7 linked regions of the Sus scrofa genome follow. The protein of the gene in region 1 interacts with the protein of each later gene in a pairwise test. Links are inferred from orthologs where the notes say so. Each region holds a gene or a part of one and is shown in the gene's direction. Other genes may lie near its edges.

What was found.
Region 2: the proteins of LZTS2 (region 1) and SUV39H1 interact in binary tests that used the Homo sapiens proteins (3 or more experiments, as listed by UniProt). The two-hybrid records come from large-scale screens. The link is inferred for Sus scrofa from reciprocal best matches to the Homo sapiens genes LZTS2 and SUV39H1.
Region 3: the proteins of LZTS2 (region 1) and RAD51D interact in binary tests that used the Homo sapiens proteins (3 or more experiments, as listed by UniProt). The two-hybrid records come from large-scale screens. The link is inferred for Sus scrofa from reciprocal best matches to the Homo sapiens genes LZTS2 and RAD51D.
Region 4: the proteins of LZTS2 (region 1) and TNIP3 interact in binary tests that used the Homo sapiens proteins (3 or more experiments, as listed by UniProt). The two-hybrid records come from large-scale screens. The link is inferred for Sus scrofa from reciprocal best matches to the Homo sapiens genes LZTS2 and TNIP3.
Region 5: the proteins of LZTS2 (region 1) and ZGPAT interact in binary tests that used the Homo sapiens proteins (3 or more experiments, as listed by UniProt). The two-hybrid records come from large-scale screens. The link is inferred for Sus scrofa from reciprocal best matches to the Homo sapiens genes LZTS2 and ZGPAT.
Region 6: the proteins of LZTS2 (region 1) and PQBP1 interact in binary tests that used the Homo sapiens proteins (3 or more experiments, as listed by UniProt). The two-hybrid records come from large-scale screens. The link is inferred for Sus scrofa from reciprocal best matches to the Homo sapiens genes LZTS2 and PQBP1.
Region 7: the proteins of LZTS2 (region 1) and KAT5 interact in binary tests that used the Homo sapiens proteins (3 or more experiments, as listed by UniProt). The two-hybrid records come from large-scale screens. The link is inferred for Sus scrofa from reciprocal best matches to the Homo sapiens genes LZTS2 and KAT5.

The regions. Positions count from the first base shown.
Region 1 is NC_010456.5:112,076,809-112,081,105, forward strand, and holds the start of LZTS2 (leucine zipper putative tumor suppressor 2), read left to right. Parts: upstream 1-1,402; 5' UTR 1,403-1,842; intron 1,843-3,019; exon of another isoform or gene 3,020-4,162; intron 4,163-4,297. UniProt on the Homo sapiens protein: Negative regulator of katanin-mediated microtubule severing and release from the centrosome. Required for central spindle formation and the completion of cytokinesis.
Region 2 is NC_010461.5:42,796,092-42,800,187, forward strand, and holds the start of SUV39H1 (histone-lysine N-methyltransferase SUV39H1), read left to right. Parts: upstream 1-1,217; 5' UTR 1,218-2,043; coding exon 2,044-2,062; intron 2,063-2,461; exon of another isoform or gene 2,462-2,952; coding exon of another isoform or gene 2,953-2,956; intron 2,957-4,096. UniProt on the Homo sapiens protein: Histone methyltransferase that specifically trimethylates 'Lys-9' of histone H3 using monomethylated H3 'Lys-9' as substrate. Also weakly methylates histone H1 (in vitro).
Region 3 is NC_010454.4:40,057,115-40,060,717, forward strand, and holds part of RAD51D (DNA repair protein RAD51 homolog 4), read left to right. Parts: intron 1-2,643; coding exon 2,644-2,725; intron 2,726-2,969; coding exon 2,970-3,104; intron 3,105-3,603. UniProt on the Homo sapiens protein: Involved in the homologous recombination repair (HRR) pathway of double-stranded DNA breaks arising during DNA replication or induced by DNA-damaging agents. Bind to single-stranded DNA (ssDNA) and has DNA-dependent ATPase activity.
Region 4 is NC_010450.4:102,891,172-102,895,240, forward strand, and holds the start of TNIP3 (TNFAIP3-interacting protein 3), read left to right. Parts: upstream 1-1,255; 5' UTR 1,256-1,422; coding exon 1,423-1,425; intron 1,426-4,069. UniProt on the Homo sapiens protein: Binds to zinc finger protein TNFAIP3 and inhibits NF-kappa-B activation induced by tumor necrosis factor, Toll-like receptor 4 (TLR4), interleukin-1 and 12-O-tetradecanoylphorbol-13-acetate.
Region 5 is NC_010459.5:62,639,630-62,643,817, forward strand, and holds the start of ZGPAT (zinc finger CCCH-type with G patch domain-containing protein), read left to right. Parts: upstream 1-1,358; 5' UTR 1,359-1,454; intron 1,455-1,670; coding exon of another isoform or gene 1,671-1,753; intron 1,754-1,923; coding exon of another isoform or gene 1,924-2,011; exon of another isoform or gene 2,012-2,098; intron 2,099-2,265; coding exon of another isoform or gene 2,266-2,358; exon of another isoform or gene 2,359-2,397; intron 2,398-2,454; exon of another isoform or gene 2,455-2,676; intron 2,677-2,710; exon of another isoform or gene 2,711-2,856; intron 2,857-2,937; exon of another isoform or gene 2,938-3,076; intron 3,077-3,362; 5' UTR 3,363-3,449; coding exon 3,450-4,033; intron 4,034-4,188. Other genes in the region: ARFRP1 (ADP-ribosylation factor-related protein 1), read right to left, coding at 1,671-1,753, 1,924-2,011, 2,266-2,358. UniProt on the Homo sapiens protein: Transcription repressor that specifically binds the 5'-GGAG[GA]A[GA]A-3' consensus sequence. Represses transcription by recruiting the chromatin multiprotein complex NuRD to target promoters.
Region 6 is NC_010461.5:42,975,202-42,979,532, forward strand, and holds the start of PQBP1 (polyglutamine-binding protein 1), read left to right. Parts: upstream 1-1,444; 5' UTR 1,445-1,463; coding exon 1,464-1,530; intron 1,531-4,331. Other genes in the region: TIMM17B (mitochondrial import inner membrane translocase subunit Tim17-B), read right to left, coding at 672-844. UniProt on the Homo sapiens protein: Intrinsically disordered protein that acts as a scaffold, and which is involved in different processes, such as pre-mRNA splicing, transcription regulation, innate immunity and neuron development.
Region 7 is NC_010444.4:6,569,336-6,573,591, reverse strand, and holds the start of KAT5 (histone acetyltransferase KAT5), read left to right. Parts: upstream 1-1,372; 5' UTR 1,373-1,387; coding exon 1,388-1,565; intron 1,566-1,890; coding exon 1,891-1,959; intron 1,960-2,045; coding exon 2,046-2,182; intron 2,183-2,454; coding exon 2,455-2,610; intron 2,611-2,700; coding exon 2,701-2,775; intron 2,776-2,878; coding exon 2,879-2,953; intron 2,954-3,424; coding exon 3,425-3,673; intron 3,674-3,754; coding exon 3,755-3,844; intron 3,845-4,256. UniProt on the Homo sapiens protein: Catalytic subunit of the NuA4 histone acetyltransferase complex, a multiprotein complex involved in transcriptional activation of select genes principally by acetylation of nucleosomal histones H2A and H4.

The DNA.
Region 1 (4,297 bases):
CGTTTCCTTTTAGATTTGCCTGCAGAAGTGGTGAGAATGCAAGCTGTTTTAAAGGGGCTGGGGAGAAACCTTTTGTAGAGGGGGTTGGGGGAGGTTTCCTGCTCCCTGGAAGCAGGGCTGCCTTATCAAGGTCTCCCTGTAACCTGAGAGGAGGCTCTGGACCCCTGTGGGATGGATGGTCTGGGGTCTCTGGTCTGTGGTGTGTGAGAACTGTGACTGCAGTTGTCTTCTGAAACAGACCCTGGAGCAAAGCCATTCCCTGGGGGGGAGGGGGGAGATCCTCCAGGGCCTCCCTTCTTGGGGGTCTCTCCCAGACTGGCTGGAGCCAGCTCTCCTAATCCCACAGTAATCATTCCCAGCCGCTGGCTGGTCTAGGCCTCATCCAGGGGCTACAACACTGAACATCAGCCATGCCTTCCAGATGCACCCCACCAGATCAATGCTACCTAGAAAGGTGTTGGTCTGGTCTCCCTAGAATGCCTGGTGTGTTCTCAGGAAATACTTTAGGAGTTTCCATTAGGGAACTTTTGCGAGGTGTCTGTGTGAACTGGCTATAGAGGAATAGATACACACTTGCCCGGCTTGCCCCACCCTCCTAGCAGACACCACCACACTGCACAAACCAGCTCGGGGGAGGGGAAGCTAATTCTCCCCCAGCCCCACCCCGTACACAAGCACATTCCATTCCACACCTGTCTTAAGCTCCTAGCATCAGAATTAGCCAGAAGTATGTTCCGGAGTAACTGCAGCCTAGAAAGTGGCAGGTAATCCCTAGTTCCTGGGTAAGGTCCCTGGGACTCCCTGTCCCTGTACTCAGCCAAAGTGGATTGAGGCAAATCACCTGGGCTAGAACCAGCATTCCATGTGCCCAGTTGGACATTTAGAACCTTCCTGAGAGCTGAGGAAGAGCCTGACAGAACAGGGTCCCTGGATCTGCAGCGCTGTCTGCTGTCTTCAGACTCATTGTCACACTTAGCTGTGTGGGGGCAGCTTTGGTTCTCCATCTTGCATTTGAGAAGGGACTAAACTCACAAGACTCCGGCTACCCAGGGCTCAGGCTGCAAATACAGCCCAGATACCTGTAGACAGCACAGTCTGCCCTCACAAAGGCCACTTTGGGTGCCATGGAGGGAGGGAGCCCTTGGTTCCTCCCTGCAGTACAGGTCAACTTCCTGTTTGTGCCTGTGGGTGGAACTTTTACGAGTCTAGGAGAAGCGTGGCCATACTCTGTGGGGGCCCAAACCGGCAGGCCGGCTCACCTGGGCCGACACCTACTCGGGGAGGGGGAGGTGCTGGTCCTCAAGGGCAGCCCCAACGCCGAGGTGTGTGTGTGTGAGGAAGGCGGGGTCTGTTTTGGTGAAACCCGAGCCTTCTTTGTCTGCTTCCCAGGGGTTTTCCCCATCTGGGGACTGGGCTGAGCATGGACCAGGATGGGCTCCCTAAAGCGCTGAGGAAGGTGGCTGTAAAGCCCTACAGCCGACTTGGTTAGGACAGCCAGCCAGCTTAGCTGTCACGTGCCACTGGCCCCTTCCCCGAGCTGAAAGACAAATGCTGTAAGGTGTGAAGTCAGAGGCCAGAGGAGCAGTCCTGGGCCACCATCGAGCCACATCTGGGCTGGGCACTGGGTCGGTTGTTGAGGGGGTGCTGCGCAGACCACTCCCCTGTCGGGGTCGGGGGCGCGGCCTCAGCCGCCCCGCCCCGCTCCTCCAGGCCCGGCCGGACGGGCGCTGGGAGTCCGCAGCCCGGAGCGGGCTTGGGAGCCGGCCGATCTGCGGCGAGGAGGTGCTGGCGCTGGAGCAGGAGCCGGGAGGGGAGCTGGAGCGGCGGCGCAGGTGGCCCTAGGTGAGTGCGTGGTGGGGCCGCGGAGGTGTCGGAACTCTAGCTCCTGCACAGCCCCGCGCCGGAGCGAACTTTACCGGTCTTGGAAGGTTGGGGGTTGGAGTGAGGAGGGGAGTCCCCAGTGCAGGAGGCACAAGCGAAGAGTGTGAACAGGGAACCTACACGGAACCTCACACTCACGGGTCCAAACACGCGTACACACAGACCCACGCGCGCACCTGAGACAGACGAACACACGTGCACCCTAAAGAGGACGCGCCCAGTGAGCTGTGCCTGCCGTCCCTGGAACAACGCCACTGGCCCGCGGGACCCCCAGCGGGCAAGGCGCGCTGCTGCCGCGTACTTGACAGGGGTGGGAGGAAAGACCCAGGGACCGCCGACGGGGGCGGGCCGGGTGGGACAACTCCAGAGGTTCCTGCTTTCCGGCAGCCCGCAGGTGAAGACTAAGACGTAAACAGGAGCCGAGCACGTGATCGTAGCGCAGACCTGTGGGCTGTGCTCCCCCCACCCGGGCCTCAGGGCGGGAACCGCCCGCCCCGGTGCAGGACGGGCTTGCAAGGTACCTGGCCGGGCTGTAGTCCATTCTCCACCTCCCCCGGAAGGAGAACACAACGCCCCCTGGAGTCGGGTTAGCGAAGGAGAACAGGAGGCTGTTGGTCTGGCCTGGGGTTACCTGGGCTCTTCGCCCTTCCTTCTCCCCAACATGGTGCCCCATCCCTGAAGATATTGGGGGCGTGGGGGCGATATTCTGGATGGCAGCGTATAGCAGCCAAGGGAGCAGCTACGGCAGCGCCTGTGGGTGCCCTTCCTACTACCACCCCTCCCTGCAGAGCTAGGAGCTCCTCCTTGCAATGTAGGAACAGAAAGCCCACGCATGCAAGAGTGGGAGTCCCCCTTCCCCAGAGAATGCAGGAGCGTGCACATCTCAACACCAGAGAGGGCCTGTCTCCCTCCCGTAGAAGGGAAGACAGCCCCCTCCCCCCAGGGCATGAAAGTGGGCATCGGCCCTCGGCCTCCTTCCTCACCCCACCCCCCACCCCTACACGCACGCTGAGCCCAGCTGCTGCCTGAGCTTCTGGGCTGGCTGCCAGAAAGGGGAGGCGGCTCCTAGTGCCCCAGGAGGCTGGGATCAGGGCAAGGCCAGAAGAGGGGGGGGGGGTCTCTACCGGAGTGGGACTCAGTCTGTTCTTGTGAGCAGAGGGTCTAGGGTGAGCCTGCGGGTGGCTGAGCTGTTTCCCTTTCCAGGGAAAAAGAAAGAAAAACAATCCTTTCCATAGAGCTAAAAATAGAGCTGAGAGCCTGCCAGGGCTGTGGCCTGGAAGGGGGGGAGATGCTCCTTCCTGGGGTAGAGGAGCTGTGGCAGGCCTTGGCCCTGGATGGGGCGGAGTTAGGGGCCTGGAGGCTGTCCTTGTACAGCCGTGTGGGCATCAGCTGACCTGACTGGGTCACAGAGACCCTACGGGAAAGTCTGTGTGATAAAATGTTTGTGAAATACGTTGTGTACATGTAAGAAGACGTTTTTTGACTGTGAATAAGACTGTCAGTGTGTGAAAAATGCTTAGGAGACTAAGTGTATTTAAGATTGTGACTGGGTGCGAAGGACTTCGAGCTGTGAAAGCCTGTGTACAACTAGGCATGTGAAACGAATGTCTCTGTGTGTTGGCCTGAAAGATTATGGGAAGAAGAGACATGGAACCTCGTGATGAAAAAGACTGTATGATTGTGGCTGTGTGAGACTGTGGGAAAGGTCGTGTGGGTGTTAAGACTGTTTTGTTTGCCGAGCTGAGAATATCCGTGACCCTGAGAAGACAGTGGGATGTTGTGTGCTACGCGGCTGTGTAGGTTTGGCCTGTAGGCTTGGATGGGCTCACCTCAGTGACTGTTGGGCCCAGGGGCTGCTTCTCTCGGATCAGTGGCCTCTCTCTTAGGAAATGACTCTGAGGGAAGGCTGGGGAGCACTGAGCCGCGCTGGGGAAAGGCCTAGGCTTTCTAGGGTAAGGTCCCCCAAGGTTGGCGGTGACCGAGTGTGTTCTCCGAATGGGCCGCCAGGTGGCGCCACCTCCACAAATCCAAGCGTGCCTCCTCCAACCGGCTGCGGGTGGGGCAGACACCCACCAAGCCTTGGCCCCCGACTTGTGCTGGGGCGCAGGGCCCCGAATCGGGGGCAACTGACCCTCCGCCGCCCCCTCTGGACTCCGAAGCTGGAGAGTGTGTCTGGGGGAAGAGGCATCGACGAGACAAGAGAAGGGGGAAGGGCGGCCGCCTCGGCGCCTGGCCCTTTGTGCTCGAACAATGACCAGCTGCCGCTGGCCCCGGGGCCCGGGTAGGGGTAGAGGGTGACCTGCCGCCGCCGCCGCCTAATCCTGAGCCGACCGAGACCCCAGACACTGGCCCTCGGAAGGAGGGAGCCTGAGTCCCGCCGCGCAGCTCCTGCGTGTTGCCCGCCGGACACGCGTGA
Region 2 (4,096 bases), on another chromosome or scaffold:
GTTGCTGTAGCTCTGGCGTAGGCTGGCGTCTACATCTCTGATTAGACCCCTAGCCTGGGAACCTCCATATGCTGTAGGAGAGGCCCTAGAAAAGACAAAAAAAAAAAAAAAAAGAAAGAAAGAAAGAAAGAAAGAAAAAGGTCATGACTTAAACCACTTTTGTGGGTTCGACAGGCCTCCTTGACTCCTGGGAGTGGGAAGGTCCCGTGTGCCTGGGGAGACTGGGGGCATGTGAAGGTCAGCATCTGACTCTGTTCTAGAAAGAATAAGGGAGAGAGGGGGACTCCACGGTGAGACTCCACTGTTAGCTGTTTCACAGCAAGCAGGGGCTACTGGAAGCTCAGCCTGATCAACCATTTCTCCAACCAGGTCACAGCTGGGCTGGCAGGCACAGAACAACCGTTTGGTTAACTGTATAACCATTTGGTTGACTACATAACTCATGGACCGACAGGGAGAGGGGCAATTTGAGGAAATGACAGTGCGGTTTCCTGACACCGTGAGCTACTGAAAATCTAACTGAATTACAGCCCACCTGGGACTGGCTGGAGCTGGTGACCTGATAATGCAGAAGGCAGGCAGGCTCCTGGGGGACTTACAGGCTGGCTGATTGATGACCCGTGTTGTTGCTGCTTGCCTAGGTGGTGGGATACTGTGAATGGCTGACTATTCCTAGGAATCACACCCGGCCCGAGGGAGTGTCTGGATGTCACGCTGTCTGGCGATGTGTAAAGGAAATCTACCCCAAGGGAATTTCAGGCTGACTGATGGACGATCTGTTGCCAACTGATAGGCAAGCCATATCTGGCGACTGACTGTCCACACTGGCCAGATCACACCATGCCTGACATATCATGTGGCCAGTCGGATGCTGAGAATGGCTACCTGGCTGGCTGATATGAGGGGCAGACTGAATGAGTCACAGGCCAGCTGGCCCACTGAAAGATCAGCGTAGCTGCCCGATCCCATGCCTGTCGTCGGATAGAATCACGGCCGCCTTGAGAGGGCCCAGGGGTGGGAGGATGTTGACTGACCGACCAATGGGGGGCATGCATCGCCTGAGAGGTGACAGACTGCTGACCACTGACGGGTGGCCTGGAGGCTTTAGCTGCTCTGACTACGAGGAAATAATTGCCTGATCCGTGGTGTGAATGGGGAGGAACCCGAGGGAATTACAGAGTGACCAACTGACAGTGGAGAGAGTGACTGCACCACGACAGGGCTACATTAGATGCTGACAATGACAGCCTGTCATGGTATAATCAGAGGCAGCCCGAGGGCCCCGTCGGTGGTGAAATGATCCCCCCGCCACCCCCCTCCTTCGGGGTTTGGAGCTGCTCCCAGGGCCAGGGTAGATGAAGAGCCTGGCTGCTGGACCGACTGACGGTGTGACAAAAGGACAGGCTAAGAGAATGACAGGCCGGCGGGCGTGCAGCGTAGCTGCTGTCAGCGCCGTATGTCTGCCTTGAGGGTCTCGCAGCTGGCCCCAGGGCACGAGTGGATGCTGCTATTGACAGACTAACAGCGTGAATGGGGGGCAGGGGTCTGATGAGGCGGTGGTCGTGGTGAATGACCCATTGTCTGATTTGAGTCGGGTGACTGCCTGAGCAGCTGTGTGTGGCGGTAGTCCACCTGGGGAGTCATGGCCTGCTTGGGGTTAAAAATGTGGTGACGGACTGACTGACGGCCGTAATTGGGGGTCTGACAAGACGGAGAATCCCCCCGTGCGGCTGGCTGACAACGTGATTGGCTGATAGCGTGACAGACAGACCGGCGTACGGGCAGGGCCTCCGGCAACCTCGGCAGCCACAGCCGTCGCCGCCGCCGCCGCCCAGACGCACTCTGGGAAAGCGCCGGCGAGCACCCGCCTTCGGGACCGAGCCGGGTGGCGGGGAGGGGTCCGGTCACGGCTCGCCGGTTGGTCCGCGCTGGCGCTGCTCGCGGCGCGGCGCGGCCAATAGGCTGCGCGTTCTCGGCCACGCCCGCGCGAGCTCTCTTCTCGCGAGGCCGGTTAGGCCCGAATGTCGTTAGCCGTGGGGAAAGATGGCGGAAAATTTAAAAGGTGAAGCAGTGGCGGCAGCGACGCGGGCCCGCTGGCCGGGCCGGGTGGGCTGGAGGGGTGGCGTCGCGGGCTCGGGGCCCCGGCGTCCGAGGCCACGGGGCCGGGAGCCGGAAGCTCGGCGCCGAAAGGCTGGGGCTCGGGGCGCGCGGGCCTGGCGCGCGGGGCTGGGCGGGGCTGAGGGGAGGGGGCGCGTGCCTCGGAACGCGGCGGGCACGGGGCTAAGTGGGGACGCGGGAGGGGGGCGCGCGCCGCAGTTCGCGACAGGACGGCGCGCGCACGCGCGGGGACTTGTCGGGGAGGCCGCGCCCGCGCGCGGGAAAATTGGCTGCCGGTGACCGTTACCCGCTTGGTGTCCACGCGAGACGCCGGAAGGGGAGGGAAGGGAAGGGGACGGACCTCCTTTTCAGAGTTGGGGGACAGGGGACTCTTCAGGGGGAGGGTATCTCCTCGCAGCGTGATGGGGGAAGGGCTTGCAGCAGAGAGGACTCTTCCAGGAAGAGGTGCAGGGGCTTCCCTAATGGGAGAGCTGGATCCCCCCGTGCGCAGGGAAAGAGGGGTGACTCTCTCAGTATGTTGGGGAAGGCGGGCTCCTCTGGGTGAGGAGAGCTGCGGGGAGGATGGGTTCCACAGGTGTGAGGGGGACCTCTGAGGGTAGGCGGGTCCACCTGTGGTCAGTGCGGAGCCAGCAGCTGGTGTGAGTTGGGACCGCTTGAGCGGGGTTTCAAATGCAAGTTGAGGGTTTGAAAGGGAGAAGCATCAGAGGGAAAAGGAAGCGTGGGCACAGGCCGAATCTCCATTAGGCCCGCTTAAGGGAGCGGGGGAAATGCACACGTAACAATTTCGTAAAGCTCTTGGCCATTTGTAGTGTGACATCTATAGAGTATTTCATCATGAGTAAGTATTTGATTTTTCTAACGGGAGGTCGGAAATAGTAAACATTTTTAAAAGGTGAAAATGAATGAGGACTGACTACATTTGGAATAAGGGCTTGTGAAATGATTTGATAAAATGGCTTCTAAAGCACAGTCATTAAGAATATGCCTTGAACTGTAAGAAGCCTTTTTAAACTTAAAAAAAAAAAAATCTGCATGTCCGGGAAAATTCTGGTAGTCCCCAAAACATTCCGGGGATATTCAAAATAATTGTCGTCACTAATCTATATTGTCGTGTCTGTTCTTGAATTAAGAGCACAGCCCTTTGGGTGAGCTGCACCCTTCACAGAAGCATGGACCAGACAAAGTCGAAAACATACCTTGTGGGTTTAAGGCACCCAGAATAATCATTCAGGGAAGCTTCCTGTAATGTACTAACATTCCACAATCTCTCATTCATAATTCCGAAATTCAGAAAGCCCTGAAGACAAATTTGGAATCATTCAGTGGCAAAACTAGACTCCAAGGAGGGCCTGATCAGTGCTGCTACCTTATATCTTTATACCCTTTAATATGAAAAATTCAGGCTCTTGCTGTAGAAGTATTAATGTGTTTGATCATGGCTTGGTTCCCCTGACCACAACAGGGGTGTGTTAGGGCAAGTGTGGGCTATATGTAGAACTACGCTTGTAAAATCCAAAAAAAGAAATTTGGATTCCAAAAACATGTCTGGCCCCAGGAGTTTCAGATAAGAATTGTGGACCAGTCTTTCCAGTTTAGGCCTTTGTTCCGTGCTGCTCTGGAGGTTTTAATCCCATCCCTACCCACCCCCCTTGGGGCTATGCACCCTACTGAGATGGAGGGGGGTTCTCTTTCTTTTGCAAAGTGGGGAGAAGGATGGTTGGGTCCCAACTCCAGGCAGGTTTGCAGGCAGCTTCAGGAATGGTATGAAGGGAGTTGGGAGCTCTGGGAATAGATGCCTTTAGGACAATCCTTGCAGCAGATCCCACCCTGAAGTCTGCTGCTCCAGGGGTAGATGGGAGTAGCACGTTTTTGTTGTAGAAGGGTCTGAGCATTGGGAAGGCCTGTGGATTAAATTTCACTGACCGTGAGGCAGTCCTTTGGAAGTCTCAGGGAGGATCTGAGATCCTCTTTGACCCCT
Region 3 (3,603 bases), on another chromosome or scaffold:
ACAGGTAGTGACTTGCTCAAGATCCCCCAGCTAGTAGGTGGCAGACCAGGCCCTTGAAGTCATGCCTGTCACATTCCTAAGTCTAAGAACACAACTCTAAATAACACGTCTGCCCTGTTGCCCCCCCTCCGGGTGGGAGGCTTTCTTGCGCAAGTGGACGTACAGGCGTGGCGTCGAGGTACTCCGGTGGATGGGGCCAGGGAGGCTGGCAGCAGAGAGCCCCGGGAGGATGTGGCAGGGGAGGGCATGTGAGCTGGTTTAGGGCTGGTGACAGCAGGAGGCATGTTGAAGAAATGTGATAAGCCTGCCCACCCGGGGGGATAGAGAGATGACCCGCCAGGAGGTCCCTTCATGGCTTAGCAGTTAATGAACCTGACTGGGATCCATGAGGATGTGGGTTCGATCCCTGGCCTCGCTCAGTGGGTTAAGGATCTGGCATTGCCGTGAGCTGTGATAAAGGTCACAGACACAGCTTGGATCCCGAGTTGCTGTGGCTGTGGTGTAGGCCGGCAGCAGTAGCTCCGATTAGACCCCTAGCCTGGGAACCTCCATATGCTGCAGGTGCGGCCCTAAAAAGAAAAAAAATGACTCACTAGGTTTCTAGCCTTCCTCGAAGTGTTCTGTGGACACTGGGTGGTTGTGACTTTACTGTGGGAGGGGAGTCAATAGCGTGGGAAATGCTAGTTGACCCAAATTAAGCGGGTTTCTCTATTGCGGGCTTTCTCATAGCCTTTAGTGCCGGTGGGCGCCATGGATCTTTACAAGGACAAGGGACTACGCACCGTGGCTGGGAAGAGCTGCGTTGACTGGGGGAGGTGGGTTGTTCCTTGAAGGCCAGAGCTATGTCTTATTCATCTGTGCCTCTGCCTTGTAAAAGGCCTTCAGGAAATGTGCTGTTTGAATGAATGACTGAAAGCCAGTTCAGAGGGAAAGGTGGGGGATAAATCCTAGAAATCCTTTGTGTTCAGAACAGGTGGTGCTGGAGTTTCCTGGTGGCTCAGTGGGTTAAGGATCTGCCATTGTCCCTGCTGTGCCGTTGTCACCCTGTGGGTATGGGCTTGATTCTGGGCTGGGGAACTTCCTTGTGCCTAGAATGAGGCCAAAACAAAACAGATGAGGAGTTCTTGTCATGGCTCAGTGGTTAACGAACCCGACCAGTGTCCATGAAGACCCAGGTTCAATCTCTGGCCTTGCTCAGTGGGTTAAGGATCTGGCGTTGCCGTGAGCTGTGGTGTAGATCGCAGATGAGGCTCAGATCCCAAGTTGCTGTGGCTGTGGTGCAGGCCAGCAGCTATAGCTCCGATTCAACCCCTAGCCTGGGAACCTCCATATGCCGCGAGTGCCACCCTAAAAAGACAAAAGGTAGAAAAAAGGGGGGGGTCCTTTAGGTGGTAAGAGACGTGGAATGTAAACAGGTGAGAAGTCAGCTGGGAGGTGGATTTAGGAATTTCTTATGCAGACTGATCCTCATGGTCAAGAATGCGACTGATTCTTTTTTTTTTTTGGTCTTTTTAGGGCCGCACCCGCAGCATATGGAGGTTCCCAGGCTTGGGATCGAATCAGAGCTGTAGCTGCCAGCCTACGCCACAGCCGCAGATCGAGCCATGTCTGCAGCGTACACTGCAGCTCACGGCAACACTGGATCCTTAACCCACTGAGCGAGGCCAGGGATCGAACCGGCAACCTCAGGGTTCCCAGTCGGATTTGTTTCTACTGTGCTACGACGGGAACTCCTGTTCGGTGTCTTATTTCTGACCATTACATAAACCCAGGCATGTGAAGAAATGGCTAGATCTATACACACAGACACATGTGGAAGTACTGGTGGATCTGAATAAGGCCGGCGATGGCTCCAGTGTCAGTTTGTGAGGTTGTACTGCAGCACAGTACGTCTTAGGGTGAAAGATGCTGCCATTGGGGGAAATGAGGGGAGGGATACAGGGGACCTCCCCATACATTGTTTTGGGGTTTTTTTTTTGTCCTTTTTTGCCATTTCTTGGGCCGCCCCTGCGGCATATGGAGGTTCCCAGGCTAGGGGTCAAATCAGAGCTGTAGCCATTGGCCTACACCAGAGCCACAGCAACGCAGGGTCCGAGCCGCGTCTGCGACCTACACCACAGCTCACAGCAACACCGGATCCCGGATCGTTAACCCACTGAGCAAGGGCAGAGATGGAACCTGCAACCTCATGGTTCCTAGTCGGATTCGTTAACCACTGAGCCACGACAGCAACTCTCTCATACATTGTTTTTTGCAACTTCTTGTGAATCTGTAATTATTTCAGAGTTTTTGTTTGTTTGTTTTTAATGACAAATTAGGGGAAGTGCTCATGCAAAGGGCTGAGATGGAGAATGAGAGGAGACCTTTGGATGGGGCGGCAAAGGCCTCCGTGGACGGGTGATCACCCAGAGGTGACCCTGAAGCCGGGAGTGAAGGGATGAGGGGCCAGAGGAGGAGCATTTAGCCGTGCCCCCCTTCCCTGAAGGAAACCCCACCCGGAGAAGCCTCCTGGCCAGAATGTTAGACGGTCTCTGGACAGAACAGTGCTTGGAGGGAACGTGCAGCTTTTCTTCCTGGTTCCAACCCCCCTCCCTTCCCACCAGTCCCCTTGATTGATTATTTTCCCTCTTCCTCTGCCGCCAGCCTGGACAAACTGCTCGATGCCGGTCTTTATACTGGAGAAGTGACTGAAATCGTAGGAGGCCCAGGTAGCGGCAAAACCCAGGTACACGCGTGGCTGGCAGCCGGGAGGGTTGGAGGAGGGGGTGCCTAGCCCTGGATCCCTGGGGCCGCTTCTGCCGTGTGCTCGTGGTTCAGAGCTGGGAAGGGAGAAGACGGGTGGTGAGGGGTGGGCTTCGAACTTGGCCCATTGGTGTCTCTGGGATCTGGGCACAATTTGGTGTTTGGAAGCTCCCTTTCTGGGCATTCCTTGAGGGTTCAAGTTCACCTGGTGCCCCGTCTCTACTCAGGTGTGTCTCTGTGTGGCTGCGAACGTGGCCCACAGCCTGCAGCAGAAGGTCCTGTACATCGATTCCAACGGCGGGCTCACAGCCTCCCGCATCCTCCAGCTGCTTCAGGCCAGAACCTCAGATGAGGAGGAGCAGGTAAAGGGCAGGGGGGTGGGGATCCTTTGCGGCTCTGATACTGTAAAACCCCGTTATCGAACATGGCAAGAATGGTGGCCATTTGGGTAAAGAGTCGTCTCTGTCTTCGAAACGGGGTGTTCTACTGACACTTGCTGTTTGCTGCAGGCCTCCCCATTATGACATCAGCCCAGCTCAGATGCCACCTGCTCTGATCCAGGAAACCCAACCCCAACCTCATGCAGGGCTGCCACACACCCCACCTCTGTTTCTACCTCATTTTTTTGCCCGTGGTAGACACACTCATCAGTCCTGTCACTCCTTCCGTGGAGCTCTGACTTGGCTTTACAGCTCGGCACCCCTTGGTTGGGAACTGGCCCATCAGAGAAAGCCCATTTGCCATCATGGACCTGAGTCCTTGCATCTAAGTGCCTCTTCCTGCTCAGCCTCAAAATCCCTCTTCATCTTGCCCGACCCCCTGCTCTTCTCCAAAGCCTTCTTTCTCTTTCCCACCCCTTCA
Region 4 (4,069 bases), on another chromosome or scaffold:
CACATGGATAGAAACTAATGGTGTAAATGTCATTTTGTGTTAACTCAAAAGACCTTTTAAAAGACATACTCAGAAGACTTTAGGAGATCTTAAAACAATCATAGTGGTATTTTCACATCAAATATGTTTACATTAATAAATCAGATTAAAGACTGATTATTTACCCCCTAATTTCTGTTTAGATTTTTTATACTGATTGTATGTACAAACTACATTGCACTCTGGACTTTTTTTCTTGTGGAAAAAATTTGAAGTTATAGACAAAGCAAAAAAAAAATCATAAACTCTCATGACCTCATCACTCAGCATGGATATTTATGACATTTTTGTCATTAAAAGAAGATACCTTTGAAGTTCTTTTTGGGAGTCACTGAGTTTCCAGTGTGTGTTTGTGGAGTGAAATTATAGAAGTGGAATCTTCTCACTGTGTCAATCTGTGTTTCTGAAGTACAATGCCTCTTCTGATGAGAGTTGAAATGCAATAACAACAAACTCTGATATAATCTATCTTCTCAAGAGTGTTGATCACATACTATTGGCTGTTTACTTAATCTCACCATGTCCACCAGAAAAAATGAATATCCAGTATAATCAAATGGCATAAATAACCACTAATTATTACTCTTGGGTATTTCATCCACAATGATTTCATTTATGAGATGGTATATTTTTTTTACTATTTTGGAGAGGTTTGCCCCTGCCAATAATTATACAGACTATCGTCCAGTGGAATGAGAAAAAATATGCATAATTCCTATCTTATAATGCCAGTGAAGCAATACAATTTCCCCTGTAGGAAAACACTCAGCAACTCCTTTTTATTTTATTTTTTTATAAGAGAGTGGGCTTATTTCTAAACTATTTTAAAGAGTGGTTAAATGTTAACCGGGGTGCTAGCTCTCTCAGGGAAAGAAATAGGAAGATGAAACAGGGGAACATTCCTAGAAATGAGTGTGTGACCTATGTGGTCTTTACAGTAAATTATACTAATTCTACATTTATGTTTATGTGTTGTGGCCCTATTAAGCTGATATAACTTTTCCATTAAGTGGGCAGGTGGATTTCCTGTAGTACCTTCAAGTGCCTGAAGAGGTATATTGTTTTCTTGTGTTTCCATTACAACATAGAGACTAAGAGGGAATCCTCTGTGGTATTTTTTTACATAGGTTGTGAATCTTGTTATCTGTAGGCTGTATTTGTATCCGAAAGGTGAATATTAATAGCCTCTTGGCAGCAGAGTGACTTTCTTAAAAAAGGGGTTTCCCTGTGTATGGGTGGATTAACCTTTCAAAATATATGTTTCTACTTAAACCACTTAGTTACTGTTTGATTCAAAGGTTGTCATAAAGACAACCTCTCCACATCTTTATTAGACCTTGTAGTACGCTTACCTAGATCTGAGCGGAACTTTCAGTATAGAGCATGGTGAGTAACGGATGCCTTGTGCCTCTACTTTCGTTTCGCTTACTTGCTAGAGTTTGCTATAACGTATTTCTTTTTAAAATGCCTGAAGTTTTTGTATTAAGACGGCATGTGTGATTTTTGAGTTCGCTAATATTAGCAAGTAAGATCTGGGTGCATGTATTCCAGGTGGGAAATGAGATAGAATTTATAAAATGTAATAATGTGTGATGTTCTCCTGTAAAATTTTTATAGCTTTCATGAGTTATCCCCTTTGTCCATGTCAGATAAAGTAAGCTTTTAAAATGACACATTTAACCATATGGTGTTATCGTATACACTTAACTATTCCTAACAATCCTGTAAATACTAACTAAATTTAAGTACTCACAAGAATAATCTTACTGTGTTTGTCCTCTTAGGCTATATTTCAGGGTTCAACAATCTTAATTAAGCAATGATCAGTGCAAGGTGCCAGGCAGAGTGTGTCACAGTAGTGGAGAGCCTTGCTTGTATTCTTCACGGTATTATGTAATCCTGTTGATGGGAAGCATAAAAGTTCTAAAATGATGTATTTCTAAATATGAAGTCACTGGGTTGTTTTACTTAAATAGTCAAATTTTCCAAAAGAGATTGGAAAAAAAACTTCCCTAGGTAAAATTTAGTTGTAAGCCATCAGATTGACATCCAAGGAAGCTTCATTTTAAAATCCAGCAGTGGACAAAGACAGACCAGATAACTATGAGCACAGTGATGATTTATTTTAATTAATTTAGCAACATTAAATTTCTGGCTTAGCCACAAAAAACTTTCTGCTGTGACATTCTAAGAGACTTCATTCTTCTTGGGAATCTCGGGCAATGCCTTGTTAAAGAAACTCTGAAAGAACTTTTTTAAATGGCAAAGCATCCAAGGACCTGCTCCCATAGCCAGCCCACACAGGAGCTTAACGTTATGGGTGACAAATAAGTATATGCAGGATGGGTCAGTCTTAACACAGACTATTTTTAGAAATGCTTTCCTAAAATTTTTGAGGCTATTTTTAAAAAATCAGATTTGTAATATATTTTTAGAGCCCAGAAAATAAAAGGGAAAAATTTCTCTAATTTTCTCCTTTGCTTTTCACTCTCTGTCTCTCAGCTTGCTTTTCTCTCTCTCTACCAAGTCTACACTAGTACATCATAGGCTTCCAGGATAATTTTTCCATTGAAATTTGAAACCACTGTACAATTTCCCAATATTAATGAGATAAATGAGGCATGAATTTGTAAGAAATAATAATTCTTAAACATGGGAAATTTAGTATTAAACTCAATTCCTCCTGCTAAAGGAACCTGAAACAAAGGCATCAGAGGGAACTGTGGAACAACAGAAGAGACAGGCACTGTTCTACATGCCTCATCAATCAAGGTCCCTGACTCCTTGACCATCTTTTTCCACTGAGTTTAAGCATCTTCACCTAGATTGTGAGGGGGGAGGGGAAGGAGACTGAAGATGCTTAGTAAGTTCTTTGTCAACTGAATACTTCCTGCCGAGGATAAAACCTTAGGCCTCATTTTAACTGCTAACTTTTTAAAAAATTGCTCTTTAATGTTTTATTCTTAAGCACTTTAGCTATCAATTTCTAAGCTTTGCTTCCTCATTAAGATTAGATAATGCAGAACTCTCAGAGGAAAACCTTTTAGTCACGGTTGTTCTCCTATCTGTTTGGTGTTGTGACAGTTTAAATCTTTCAAATATTGTTTTCGTGAAGGAAGAAGGACTTGAAAGAAATGGACTTTACACACACATGCCCCCAAGACTTTAAGAAAGAGGCGGGAACTTTTAAAAATGTCTTTCTACTGAAACTGCACAGAACATGAGTAAAAAATTAATTTTATTTGAAAACACGGTGAAGATTAAATATCTCCAGGGTTTTTAAATAAACACAGTATATGGAGGAAAATTATCCTAGTGGCTGCAAAGCACAGTCCCATCAAATGGATCTCTTGATGGACCTAAGAATGTAAAAAGTCTTGGAAGACAGAGAGAGTCACAGTGGGGCAGTTAGTACACAGTTAATAGAATATTAAAATAATCAAAGCTAATTATTCTATGTTTTTGCTAATCTGATACAAAAATTATGCAAGAAGAAATATATTAAGTAGCATAATTAATAAATATATTTGAAAGTAAATTACCCCTTTTATAGTTTTAAGTTACATCTTAAATTATAAAGATGGCAAAATGTTTCCTTTTGCTGTAAATAAATATTGATCAGTAGAACAGGTTATGTCCTGATGCCTCTGAGATAGTTTGTATGCTCACAGGTATATCAGTACATTCTTCAATGGGTTGCTCTATTCACTTCTTTTTCTTCAATATTAAAGAATACATTACCATTTTTCACAAGCTCTTTACCAGGAGAAGTTGTTCAAAATTGTTCTGGGAAGACAGCTTACATTATTTTAACTACAAAAGGGAAAGCAGTGGTAGATATTAAAAATAAAAGAAAAATTGTTCAGCCTAAACATGAAAATATGCTTCCCTTTTGAATTTTTCTTATAGAGAGGAACATAAAATACTGGAACACTATCAAAACAATCAAATTTGATTTACAATTGAAAAAAGTGAGTAGGAAGGTTTTCAACTTTAAAGTGTATCATAAAGACAAATTTAATCCTACCTA
Region 5 (4,188 bases), on another chromosome or scaffold:
GCAGCAGCACACAGCGTGAGCGGAGGGCAGCAGGTGGGGGTGAAGGTCGCCAGCCATCTGCCAGAGGGGAACAATCGGCCACCCGACATGATGCTGGTGCAGTGGTGCTGGGCAGCGTGGGGACAGGGCAGGCCCCAGGACACTACATCTGGGAGCCAGGGTGGGAGCAGAAGCCCAGCTTTCCACCCTCCCAGAGACTCAGTGGGGGCTGGTGTGTGGTCACCCCGTGGCCCCCCGCTCACCAGCCAAGTGGCAACCCCCCCACTGCCTCCCAGGCATGTCAGGCAGCCCCATCCATGGCCAGGGGCGACCACACCTTGTTGCTGGCAGCAGGCAGGGCACCCACTGCACTCAGAAGTTGGGGAGCATATGAGAAACTCAGGGTCCACCAGAGACGGCAGGCTCGACGATCAGGGCTCAGCCCCTCGTGATGAGGCCACCGGGCCAAAAGAAGTGGACAGAAGGGGGTCACAACCAGCCACCAAGCCAGCTTCTCCTTGGCAGAAGCCACCCCCAAGGCGGAGGAGCGAAAGGAGTGTGCACCTGCCACGGGCTGTGGCTTCACTGCCTGATGGCGGGCACTGCACCCAGTGCGTGGCCCGTGTTACCTCCTGCAGGACCCACTCTGATGCACCTTACCCTGTCACAGCTGCCCAGGGTGGCCCACTGTGGGGACCTGCCAAGGGAATGGAGTCCTGGCCAGCGTGGCCTGACGTGGGGCAGCTGCCCGAGACGCCCCTGCCGTGCCCAGTCCCGAGTCCCCAGCGCCCCCTGGTGCTGATCCCCAGGATATCCTGCACCCCAATCCCCAAGGTAGCCTCTGCTCCGGAGACTCCAGCCTGTGACGGAACTTCAGGACCAGTTTTGCTCCCATGTGGGTCGAGGACTTGAACAAACAGCCCCTGGCTTGACTCTGCCTTTGTCCCACTTAAATGGCCTCAGAGGACCTGTCAGTGACGTTCTGACCACGAGACAGAAACCGCCCACTTGGATGGAAGGCAGGCTAGGGAGGACACCTTTGGGGGACGAGGAAAAAGTGACTGGGCACCTGCTGCGAGCGTCAAACCAGAAATCAGGTCCTGAGCACCCGGCCACCAGCCAGTGTTGGGATGGGCGCGTCTGCGCCCCAGCACTGGGCTGCGCCACACCCTGGGTGGGCGTCCCCTGGGCGGGGCTGAGGGAAGAGGCCCATTCTGTCCTCTCTGCTGGACCCACTGACTTGGCCTTGGGCTGTGTGGGGAGGAGAGCCCCATGTGGAGGTCGGAGGAAGGACTCAGACCTCCATCAAAAGCGGAGGTGGCTGCTGTGGGCCTTGGAGGACACGTCCCCTGCGGGAGCACAGGTCCTGAGCCGGAACACATGGCAACTCAGGCCCCGGCGCTGAGGCCGAGCACCACACTGGCGCTGTGTCTTCCCCACGTCTGCCCCTCGGCCATCCTCTGTTTCGTCCTGTGGTGAGTAGCCATAACATCGCTAAGCCTGGAACCCAGCATGTCCCTGTTCTTGGGACAGCGCCCTGGGCACTGGGACAGCACAGGGCGGCTCAGGAGCCAAGCTGCTGACCGCAAGGAGAGAAGGTGAGCCCAGGAAAGGCAGGGAGAGACCAAGGTGGCCCGGGAGGGACGGTGCGAGAGGCAGGCCGGGAGCCTGTGTGGCCACCCCCCTCTTACCTTGTCCCACAAAGACTGCAGCTCTTCCTGCCCCCCTAGGTCCCAGAACATGAGGCGAGCCTTGCCCACGTCCACTGTGCCGACTGGGCGAGAAGAAAACAGGAGAGGCTGTGGCCTTGGTCCCTGACACCCCACCTCCCAGCCCTCCTGGGGAGGGGCTCTCTGGTGCTCTGCCTGCCTGCAGGCCTGTGGCCATCACAGCACCCTCAGGGGTCTGCCCGCCAAGCCCGCAGCCCTCAAGAAACCCCCTTACTGTTTAGACCCACGGTGGTGGTGATTTTGGACAGACTCATCCCCTTGTAGTTCTTGTTGAAGCGGGTTTTTGACTGCTCCAAGAAGGTCTGCGGGGAGAGGGAGAGAGAGGCAGGAGAGAGGAGCTGGAATGGTTTTCCGGCCTGTTTCTCAAGTTTCCCTCCTTGGGCCTATTCCTTTAAGACAAAGCAAAACAGCACACCGTTTTGCTATCAAGGCAGCCGGTGCCAGCCGTCCCCCGGTCTTAGAGGGGGCTGGGATCTTTGGACAACACGCAGCTAAATGCGTGATACCAAAAGTACCACGTTCGGGGCGGGGGGCGCGGGGCGCTGACGGCACGTACCGTTTTCCCGGCATTGTCCAGACCCAGGATCAGGATGCAGTACTCGTCCTTTTGAAACATGTACTTATACAGGCCGGACAGCAGCGTGTACATCCTGCGCGGAGACCAGCGATCGGTCACCGGCGATCCGACCCGCACCCCGCCTCCCCGAGCGGCAGAAGGGTCTGTCGGCCTGCTGTCCGCTCAGACCTGGAGCCCCGGGCCCTGCCGACCCGCCTCCTCTCTGCCCGGCACTGCCGCCGGCGCCTCCGCAGCTGCTCCCGACCCGGCCGGCGCTGCCGGCACCCTCGCTCCCACGTCCGGCCTCCCTCCGGGCTTCGCTCCGCCCAGGTCTCCTCGACGGCCCTGGGCCAAGACGGCCGCAGGCGCCCCTCAGAGGAGGGCGCGTGGGGGCGGGCGGCGGCCCCGAGTGGCCGTGCGGCTCCGCCCGCCCGCCCCGGCCTACCTGCGCCCGCCCGCCCGCTCGCCCGGGCCGCGAAGCCGGGGAGACGCCGGAGTGGGGGAGCCGCCAGGGCACCGGAGCTGCGGCGCCTGACCCTCCGACCCCGCGCCGACCCCGCGGTGACCCCGCGCGACGCCCGACGGGACGCGGGCCGGCCACTCGGGGAGGGGCGGAACCGTCCCGGCGGCCCCCGCGCCAAGCACTTCCGGCGGTGGCGGCGCGAGGGCGGAAGTGCCTGTCGGCTGCGAGGGCGGAAGCGGGGCGCGGGGCCGCTGGGGCCGCCGAGGCCGCCGGGCCGTCTGTGGCGGCGGCCGGGAGACCGTGCGGAGGAGGGCCCGGCCGGAGCGAGAGGGTCTGGGGCGTGGCGAGGTGACGGGCTGAGCCGGGGCGGGGGTGCGCGGGGCGTGGGCCGGGGCACCCGGCTGAGGCGCGGAGACCTCGGAAGAGCCTACGGCAGCGCCCCGGGGCGCCTGAGAAGGGAGCTGCGGCTGTGGGGCCAAGGCCGAGAGCCGGCTCTGGCTCGCCGGATCGGAGCTGGAAACCTCTCTTGGCCCAGACGGGAGGGGGGCAGCTCACGGTTCCGCGGGCTGTCCGCCCAGGGCCAGCCTCGCAGCGGTGGCCCGTCCCAGGCTCATTTGGCTTCTCTTCCCCGCAGCTGTGGCCCCCACGCCTCCCCTGGGAGGACCCAGAACACCCACCCCAACCCCGCGGCCTGGCCGAACAACCAGCCCCTCCTGGCAGGATGGACGAGGAGAGCCTGCAGGCCGCCCTCCGGACTTATGACGCGCAGTTGCGGCAGGTGGAACTGGCCCTGGGCGCCGGCCTGGATCCCTCGGAGCTGGCGGACCTGCGCCAGCTGCAGGGGGACCTGAAGGAGCTGATCGAGCTCACAGAGGCCAGCCTGGTGTCCGTCAGGAAGAGCAAGCTGCTGGCCACGCTGGACGGAGAGCACCCAGCCCCGGAAGATGCGGAGTACGTGGCTTTCCAGAAGGCCATCGCCGAGGTGGTGGAGGTGCCAGCAGCGCCCCGGGCCGAATTGGAGACTGTTCCTAAGGACGAGGCAGGGCCAGACCCCTCGGAGCCTGGAGAGGAGGAAGAGGGGGAGGACGAGGAAGACGCGGCCGAGCTGAGTGGGAGGAAGGTGAACGCCCCCTACTACAGCCCGTGGGGCACCCTGGAGTATCACAACGCCATGATCGTGGGCACAGAGCAGGCGGAGGACGGCGCCCCGGGCGTGAGAGTGCTCTATCTGTATCCCACTCACAAGTCCCTGAAGCCCTGCCCCTTCTTCCTGGAGGGGAAGTGCCGTTTCCAGGAGAACTGCAGGTAAAGCCTTGCCTCCCCCTGCGGCCTCTGGGGTTGCGGCCTCTGGGGTGGGGGGCTTGCGCTCAGGGTTGGGGTTGGCCCGCTGTGTTTTGGAGTTTTGTCCTTCGTCGCCCAGCAGGGTGCTGAGAAGAAGAGCTCTTTGGGGGCCAGGGGGT
Region 6 (4,331 bases), on another chromosome or scaffold:
GCCCTTGTCCGCCCCTCTCCTTCACAGCCAACTGGTTTACTGCTAGCAAAGATTAAATGACTTGATTGCAAGCAAAGAGTGGGCACGTTTAAATAAGCGCTACGGAAGTGTTAACAAGCTGGCACTGTAAAGTACAACGGGGGTCGCACCCCCTCCTCCGACAATGAGCTCGTCCAGCCACGCTCTTCCCTTTCTTCACCTTGCACGAGGGAGGAAAAACCTAGCTGCAGACCGTGGGGACGATCCGACACCCCCTCCTTGCCCACAGTGGGCTCACCCAAGCCCCGCCTCCATTCACCAAAGGGACCTGGGAAAAACCACGCGCGGTAACCCTGGGGATTTCCGCCTAGCAACACACCACCCCCCGGCTGGAATGGATTCGACCAACGTGTCTCTTTCCGTTAACAAGAGGGACCGGGGACAAGAGTCAAGGGAAACGTGGAGTGGTTCGTCCTGCACCGCACCAGCTCCTTCAAGCACACAGTTGTGGCCCCTCTTAACGGAGCCCAAGTAAGGAAACAAGTGGACGGGAGCGGAAGGAGACAACAAACGTTTAAAAGTCTCCCGAGTCTGGGACGTGGCGCTGTGTAGCCAGCGCCTCCCCCGCCCGCCTCCCACCGCTGGCCGTGGCGCCGCAGCAAGAGTCCCGAGGCCTGTGCCCCTCGCCGTACCAAGGCTCCCGAGCGTACTCCTCCATGGCGCCGGCGTCCGGCCGCGCAGTCTGGCTAAATCCCGGCCGGGCCACACCCCCACTGTAAACGCACACAGGCGCCCGAGCTTTCCACCTATTCCAAGGTAATGATTGGGTCCTTTCGCCAGACGTCAGGCCAAGGCGCACTCTCATTGGCCAGTTAGGTTTCCGTCATCTGTTCTCTGCAGCCCGAGCGTCGCCCAGTTACCTCTGGCTCAGGGAGAGAGGGCCTCATTCTTTCCCTCAGGAGAAAAAGAGTCGTGGTCCTGGCGATCATAAAGGCGTCGAGAGAGAGGCCGACAGTCTGACAGCCTTCCGCAACCCGCGTGACTGTATTGGTAATGTCGGGGTGGGCGCATTTTTTGGAGCTAGAGGAAACCCTGCTCCCCCCACCCCTGCTCCTTGGTTCCTTCCACCCGGCAGTCTTTGGGGGACGTTGGGTGAGCCCATTTCTGGGGCGCGGGGGAGCGGCGCTTGGCCCCTTCGGCGATGGGTGGAGCCTAGGCCTGGGAGAGGAGGCCTGGGAGAGGAGTCCTGTCCCGGAGCACCCCGCCTGGAGAGGAGAGTTGGCGAGAATTTCGGTGATACTGCCGTTTATCCCTTCCACCTTTTAGCGGGTAGGTTCTGTTGCCCAGCTCCTGGTGCAGGTGGGTAGGTGGGAGTCTAGATGAGTGCATGTTGGGGAGAGGCGCTTGCTTACGAGCTCCAGATTCAAATCCTTATCTGAACTGCTTTCTCGTCTGTCCTTCCCTAGGTCTGTCTGCTACCCGCTATGCCGCTGCCCGTTGCGTTGCAGACCCGCTTGGCCAAGAGAGGCATCCTCAAACATCTCGAGCCCGGTGAGAGAGCTAAGAGCAGATGGGCCTACCATGTGCCAGGCTTGACAGGCACTTTGTTGTTGATATTGCCACTCGATCCCTAGTATGGGCCTACTATATACCAAGCAGTGGGCTGGCAGACATTTTGTTGTAAACAATACGTATTCCTGACGCCGATTCCTACCGCGTGCGCGCGGACGCCTACGGTGGGGGTGGGGCAGGGAATAGACATTTCAGCTTTAGTCGTACCTAATACTGACAGCTGATGCTTATCTTGGATCTTCATACGCCAGATTTAATCCAATCGATCCCTGGAAGAGTATCTAAGGATATTAATAGTAAACTGACATCTATTACAGCCTCTTTTGGACCAAATACAGTGGGAGGAGGCTGATATTTTGTTCTTTACCATACTAGTAGGTAACATTTTTTTCAGATCTACTGTAGAGCCAGGTACTGTTCAGGCGATATATACCGACTTGTTCACCAGTTCAATAACTGACATGTATTTCGGGTCTGCTTAAGTGGCTGGCATATGCATTATGGTTTACAGTATGTAAAATAATGGTAGGGGAGTTCCTGTCGTGGCGCAGTGGTTAACGAGTCCGACTAGGAACCATGAGGTTGCGGGTTCGATCCCTGGCCTTGCTCAGTGGATTAAGGATCCAGCGTTGCCGTGAGCTGTGGTGTAGGTCGCAGACGCGGCTCGGATCTGGCGTTGCTGTGGCTCTGGCGTAGGCTGGCAGCTCAGCTCCGATTGGACCCTTAGCCTGGGAACTTCCATATGCCGCGGGAGCGGCCCAAGAAAAGGCAAAAAAACAAAAAACAAAACAAGGATAATGATAGGATCTGTCATTTTGGCCTGCTGTGCTGCCGTTGCCAGTATTTATACCTTACTGTCATTACAGTAAAAGTTGGCATCTATTTTGGGCTAAGGTGTGGCCGTGTACTGGAAAACTCATTTTCACTTTATTGACAGGTGACATCTATTACAGGTTTGTTGTGTGCCAAGCATAGATCTTTGGTTAATAATACGGATAATGGTCATTGATATTTATTTTAAGCTTACTGAATACCGGGCCTTGTGCCCGTGGTACGTTTCTTACTAACAACACTAATGATTATAGCTGATGATCTATTTTGGACCTATTGTGTGACAGGCACTATGTTATTGCTGAAATAGACATTTCATTGTTAGCTGTATACACAGTTGAAACCTGTGATCGGCCAACTGAGGTCCAGGTACTCATGTACCTTTTTTAAAATGTTTGGTCTTTTTATGGCCACACCCACGGCATATGAAAGTTCCCGGGCTAGGGGTCGAATCAGATCTGTAGCCGCTGGCCTATGCCACAGCCACAGCAATGCCAGATCCGAGCTGCATCTGTGACTTACACCACAGCTCACAGCAGTGCCAGATTCTTAACCCACTGAGCAGGGCCAGGGATCAAACCTTCGTCCTCGTGGATGCTAGTCGGGTTCGTTATTGCTGAGCCACAATGGGAACCCCCACTCATACACCTTTTTTATTCTGTTGATAGTAACTGAAAACAGTTGCAGGTCTCAGGAGCTGAATATATTCAGAGCAGTGTTTGGATAAATGCCTTGCTCTCCAAACTTGCTACTCAATATACTAGAATCAGAAACTCCCTATTTGCCAAGCTGGAGAACTGAATGAATTTGGACGTTTTTAGATAAAACCTTTGCTGTTCAAACTAATTTTGTCCAAATAGGTTTGGATAGCGGGGAGTTTCCGTCATGGCTCAGTAGTTAACAAACCTAGTTAGTATCTATGAGGACGCGGGTTCAACCCCTGGCCTCACTCAGTGGGTTAAGGATCTGGCATTGCCATGAGCTTCAGTGTAGGTCTCAGGTGGGGCTTGGATCCTGTGTCGCTGTGGCTGTGGCCTGGAGTGGCAACTACAGCTCCAATTTGACCCCTAGCCTGGGAACCTCCACATGCCACAGGTGTGGCCTTAAAAAGACAAAACGATACATAAAAATAGATTTGGGGAGTTCCCGTCATGGCGCAGTGGTTAACGAATCCGACTAGGAACCATGAGGTTGCGGGTTCCGTCCCTGCCCTTGCTCAGTGGGTTAACGATCCGGCGTTGCCGTGAGCTGTGGTGTAGGTTGCAGACGCGGCTCGGATCCCGCGTTGCTGTGGCTCTGGCGTAGGCCGGTGGCTAGCTATGGCTCTGATTGGACCCCTAGCCTGGGAACCTCCATATGCCGCGGGAGCGGCCCAAGAAATAGCAAAAAGACCAAAAAAAAAAAAAAAAAAAAAAAAGATTTGGATAGCAGGGTGTCACATACTGTCTGAACACAGGAACTAAACAAACATGGATACACGTTTTTTATTTAATTTTTATTTTTTTTAGGGCCACACCTGAAGCATATGGGGGTTCCCAGGCTAGGGGTCTAATCAGAGCTACAGCTGCCAGCCTACACCACAGCCACAGCAACGCCAGATCCAAGTGGCATCTGGGACCTACACCACACACAGCTCAGGGCAATGCCAGCTCCTTAACCACTGAGCGAGGCCAGGGATCGAACCTGCAACCTCATGGTTCCTAGTTGGATTCATTTCCTTGCGCCACAACAGGAACTCCGGATACACTTTTTTGTTTTTTTTGCTTTTTAGGGCCGTACCCGCGGCGTGTGGAGGTTCCCAGGCTAGGGGTCGAATCAGAGCTACAGCTGCCGGCCTACGCCACAGCCACAGCAACGCCAGATCCGAGGCATGTCTGTGACCTACACCACAGCTCACGGCAACACTGGATCCTTCACCCACTGCGCGAGGCCTGGGATCGAACCTGCAA
Region 7 (4,256 bases), on another chromosome or scaffold:
CTGAGAAACTGAATGGACCAGCTCATCAGTGAGGGAGAAGAAAGAAGGTGGGAGGAGAAACCAGAAAGGCAGATCTGGAGTTCAGTTCAGGACATGCCCCTGGTACATCCAAATGGGGGTGTCGAGTAGGCAGAGAAAGTCGAGGGAGATCTGGGCTGAAGATACAAATTTGAGAAACCTCAGAAACCTGGGAGCGGCCTTAAAAAGCAAACAAACAAACAAACCAACCCATTCTTAGTACATTTGCTGTAGGAAAGCTAGCAGAGGGTTGGATTTGGCCATTTTGCCTATCTGGCCCTTTCCTTCACCTGGTGCTTTTTTTCTTCTTTGAGGGGGCTTTCTCAAAACACTTATCATTATTTAATAGACTAGATAATTTATTTTTTAACGCTATTAACCAGGTGTTACCTATGCCCCTCTTTTCCCTCCCAACCTCCAAGAAGGTAAGCTACAAAAGGAGGGAATCCTTGGGAGTCCCCATCATGGCTCAGCGGTTAACGAATCTGACCAGGAACCATGAGGTTGCAGGGTCGATCCGTGGCCTGGCTCAGTGGTTTAAGGACCCAGTGTTGCCTTGAGCTGTGGTGTAGGTCGCAGACGCGGCTCGGATCCCAAATTGCTGTGGCTCTGGTGTAGGCCGGCGGCTACAGCTCTGAATCGACCCCTAGCCTGGGAACCTCCATATGCCGTAGAAGCGGCCCTGGAAATGGCAAAATGACAAAAAAAAAAAAAAAAAAAAAAAAAAAGGAATTCTTTATTTACTGAGGTATTCCAGGCTCCTAGAACAGTGCCTGGTACGTGGCAGGTGATTTACTACACATTTGTTGAATGTATGCATGAATGATGTATTACTCCTGTAATTAGCAACCTACTATACAAAACAACAAACCTACAAACCTTCCGTGAGTTCCCAACCCCAAGGAGTTAGGGCCACAAACTTGGCGAGGGTTTTAAGTCCCTCAAGTCCCACCCACTTCTCCAGCCCCTCAAACCCTCAAGACCCGCCCCAACCCCCAGCCGGGCACGCGCAGTTCACTCCCCGAGACGCATCCTGCGGCCACTAGGAGACGCCCAAACCCGGCCGCCGGCGAAGCAAACACCAGTCCCACGTGACCGGCGTCGCACCCGGTGAGCGTCACGTGACGGACTCAGTTTTCCTCCAATCGTTGTGCACGTTGTGGGGATTCCACCGAAGACCTGGTTTGAGACTTACAGTACCCTATTCCCCCGCCAGCCAAACGGGCCGGCTCCATGAGCAAGCTGGGTTGCGGGGTCTCTCCAGGGTCCTCTCCTGAAGCCGGTTTGGAGAGACCTGGGCCTACAAAGTGCTCGGTCCCGGAAGTGACGTCTCCCAGAGGGGCCGGAAGTGGCAGTGGAGGGAGGGAAGATGGCGGAGGTGGTGAGTCCGGTGCCCGGGGCGGGGCGGAGGGAGCCAGGGGAGGTGGGTAGAGCCCGAGGCCCCCCAGTAGCCGACCCTGGCGCCGCGCTGTCTCCCCAGGGGGAGATAATCGAGGGCTGCCGCCTGCCCGTGCTGCGGCGGAACCAGGACAACGAAGATGAGTGGCGTGAGTGACGTCGGGGGGCGGGGCTAAGGAACCTGAGGGCGAGGGGCGGGGGGAGTCAAGCGAACCCCAGGGAGGGGGAGGGGCCTCTAGAATCTTGGGGCGGGCGGGGCGCAGATATTCACGAGGGGCGTGGCTTTTAGCCGCTGGAGATGGACAGGGCGGGGCTTGGAGAAGGGAATGACACTTGGTGACTAATGGGGGCTTGGGCGAGAGCTTCCAAGTGCTGAGGCTCAGGGATCGGGCCTGGAGGTGGAGTTCAGGTTGTAGAAGGGCGGAGCCTCATGGCCTGGCCGCTCTAAGGCCGTTCCCTGTGCTGTGCCCACAGCCCTGGCCGAGATCCTGAGCGTGAAGGACATCAGTGGCCGGAAGCTTTTTTACGTCCATTATATTGACTGTGAGTTCTGGGCCGGGATGAGGTGGGGCTAGGGTTGCGGGGGGCAGCCTCTGGCACTCCTTCCTGAGCCATCCCCACTGCTGCAGTCAACAAACGCCTGGATGAATGGGTGACTCATGAGCGGCTGGACCTAAAGAAGATCCAGTTCCCCAAGAAAGAGGCCAAGACCCCCACCAAGAACGGACTTCCTGGGTCCCGCCCCGGCTCTCCAGAGAGAGAGGTGGTGAGTAGGTCCCCTGCTTCAACTTTTCTCTCCTGCCTCCTACTTCTCTCATCTCTTGGCCTCAGTGGCTCCCAGCTGGGCAGGAGGCTGTGCCCTCCCACCCTGGCTTCAGCTCGCAAAGGATGGGGGCCAAATTGCAGATGTAGCTTCCAGAGTCCAGCGTCCTTGAGAGGGGCGGGGTTTGATCATTACACACTGAGGGGCCCCTACTCCCCTTCCCCATCCCACCACCATCCCCACCCCAGAGGAAGACCCTGGACCTATCTCTACAGCCGGCCTCCGCCCAGGCCAGCGGGAAGACCTTGCCAATCCCGGTCCAGATCACACTCCGCTTCAACCTGCCCAAGGAGCGGGAGGCCATTCCCGGTGGCGAGCCCGACCAGCCGCTCTCCTCCAGCTCCTGCCTGCAGCCCAACCACCGCTCAACGGTACCCTCAGCAATTCCAGGGACCTTGCTTTCCTCTCAGGTCCCACCTTCCCTACCTTCTGACCCACCTTTCTTGGTTTCTCTTCTGCAGAAACGGAAGGTGGAGGTGGTTTCACCAGCAACTCCGGTGCCCAGCGAGACAGCCCCGGCCTCAGTTTTTCCCCAGGTGAGTCCCCCAAACCATCTCTTTTTCCCTCCCCTTCTACCTTCTGGTAGCCCCTTTCAGGTGCATCTCACAGCTACTCCTTTTTCTTTCATCTCACCTTCAGAATGGATCAGCCCGTAGGGCAGTGGCAGCTCAGCCAGGGCGGAAGCGAAAATCAAATTGCTTGGGCACTGACGAGGTGGGTCTGGGGAAGAGGGAAGCGGGGTGAAAAGTAGGGGACAGGGGGTTCCCTAGGTGGGTAGCAATTGGAAATCAGTGTGCGCTCACTGCTGTGCCCCTGGGTTCAATTCCTGGTTTGAAAACTGAGATTCCCACATCAAGCCACTGCATGTTGTAGCTAGGAAAAAAAAAAAAAAAAAGGAGTGGACGTAGGCAGGGCAGAGAGTTCAGTGACTCGTTGGAAGATGAACAGAGTGTGCTGGGTTGAGGTGGTGTTGGGATTAGGAGTGAGGCAGAACTGGTTCAGATCAAGCATTGGGTCATCTTTTCCAGTTTCCAATGAAAATTGTCCAAGTCTTGGTTTCTTTAACTGGAAAGTAGGGGTTATGGTATCTTCCCCACTAGGAAACCCGTGGGAGGGCTGTGAGCCAGAGAGTGTCCTGCTTGAGTTGTCTCCTGTAACCTGGCGTCTTTCCGTGGCCCCGGGCAGGACTCCCAGGACAGCTCAGACGGAATACCCTCGGCTCCTCGCATGACTGGGAGCCTGGTGTCTGACCGCAGCCACGACGACATCGTCACCCGGATGAAGAACATTGAGTGCATCGAGCTGGGCCGGCACCGCCTCAAGCCGTGGTACTTCTCCCCGTACCCGCAGGAGCTCACCACCCTGCCCGTCCTCTACCTCTGCGAGTTCTGCCTCAAGTACGGCCGAAGCCTCAAGTGTCTGCAGCGTCACTTGGTAGGAAGGGTCCCAGGAGGCCGCCTTCCTAGCACCCCTGCCCTGCCCTGGCCCTGCCCCTGATTCTCCTCTCCTTCTCAGACCAAGTGTGACCTGCGACATCCTCCAGGCAACGAGATTTACCGAAAGGGCACCATCTCCTTCTTTGAGATCGATGGTCGTAAGAACAAGGTCAGTGGCTCAGGGGCCGTGGGGAGTCTTTGGTGCAGGGAGTCAAGTGAGTGGCCTTTTCCAGCTCAGGAAAGCACTGACCATTTTGGCTAACAGATCTATTCACCCCATTTATTCACTTAGGGCAGGTGTGGGAGATACAGAGTGACCAGCAATTAGACAGGATCTCTGCTGAGGGCTCACAGGAGAAGGCAGACATGCTAGGGGCTTCTTAGATCCTAGCGTGATACATGTCGTGAGACAAAGTGTGAGTTATCAGGATCCAGAGGAGGGGACCTTTGAGCCTGGGTAAGGGGGGTACAGGAATCCGAAACCATGGGTTCTGAAGGGGAGGAATGGATGGCTCTGCAGGTTCAGTTCCAGACCAGAGCAATGAAGCAAATATCATAATAAAGCAGTCACACAAGTTTTT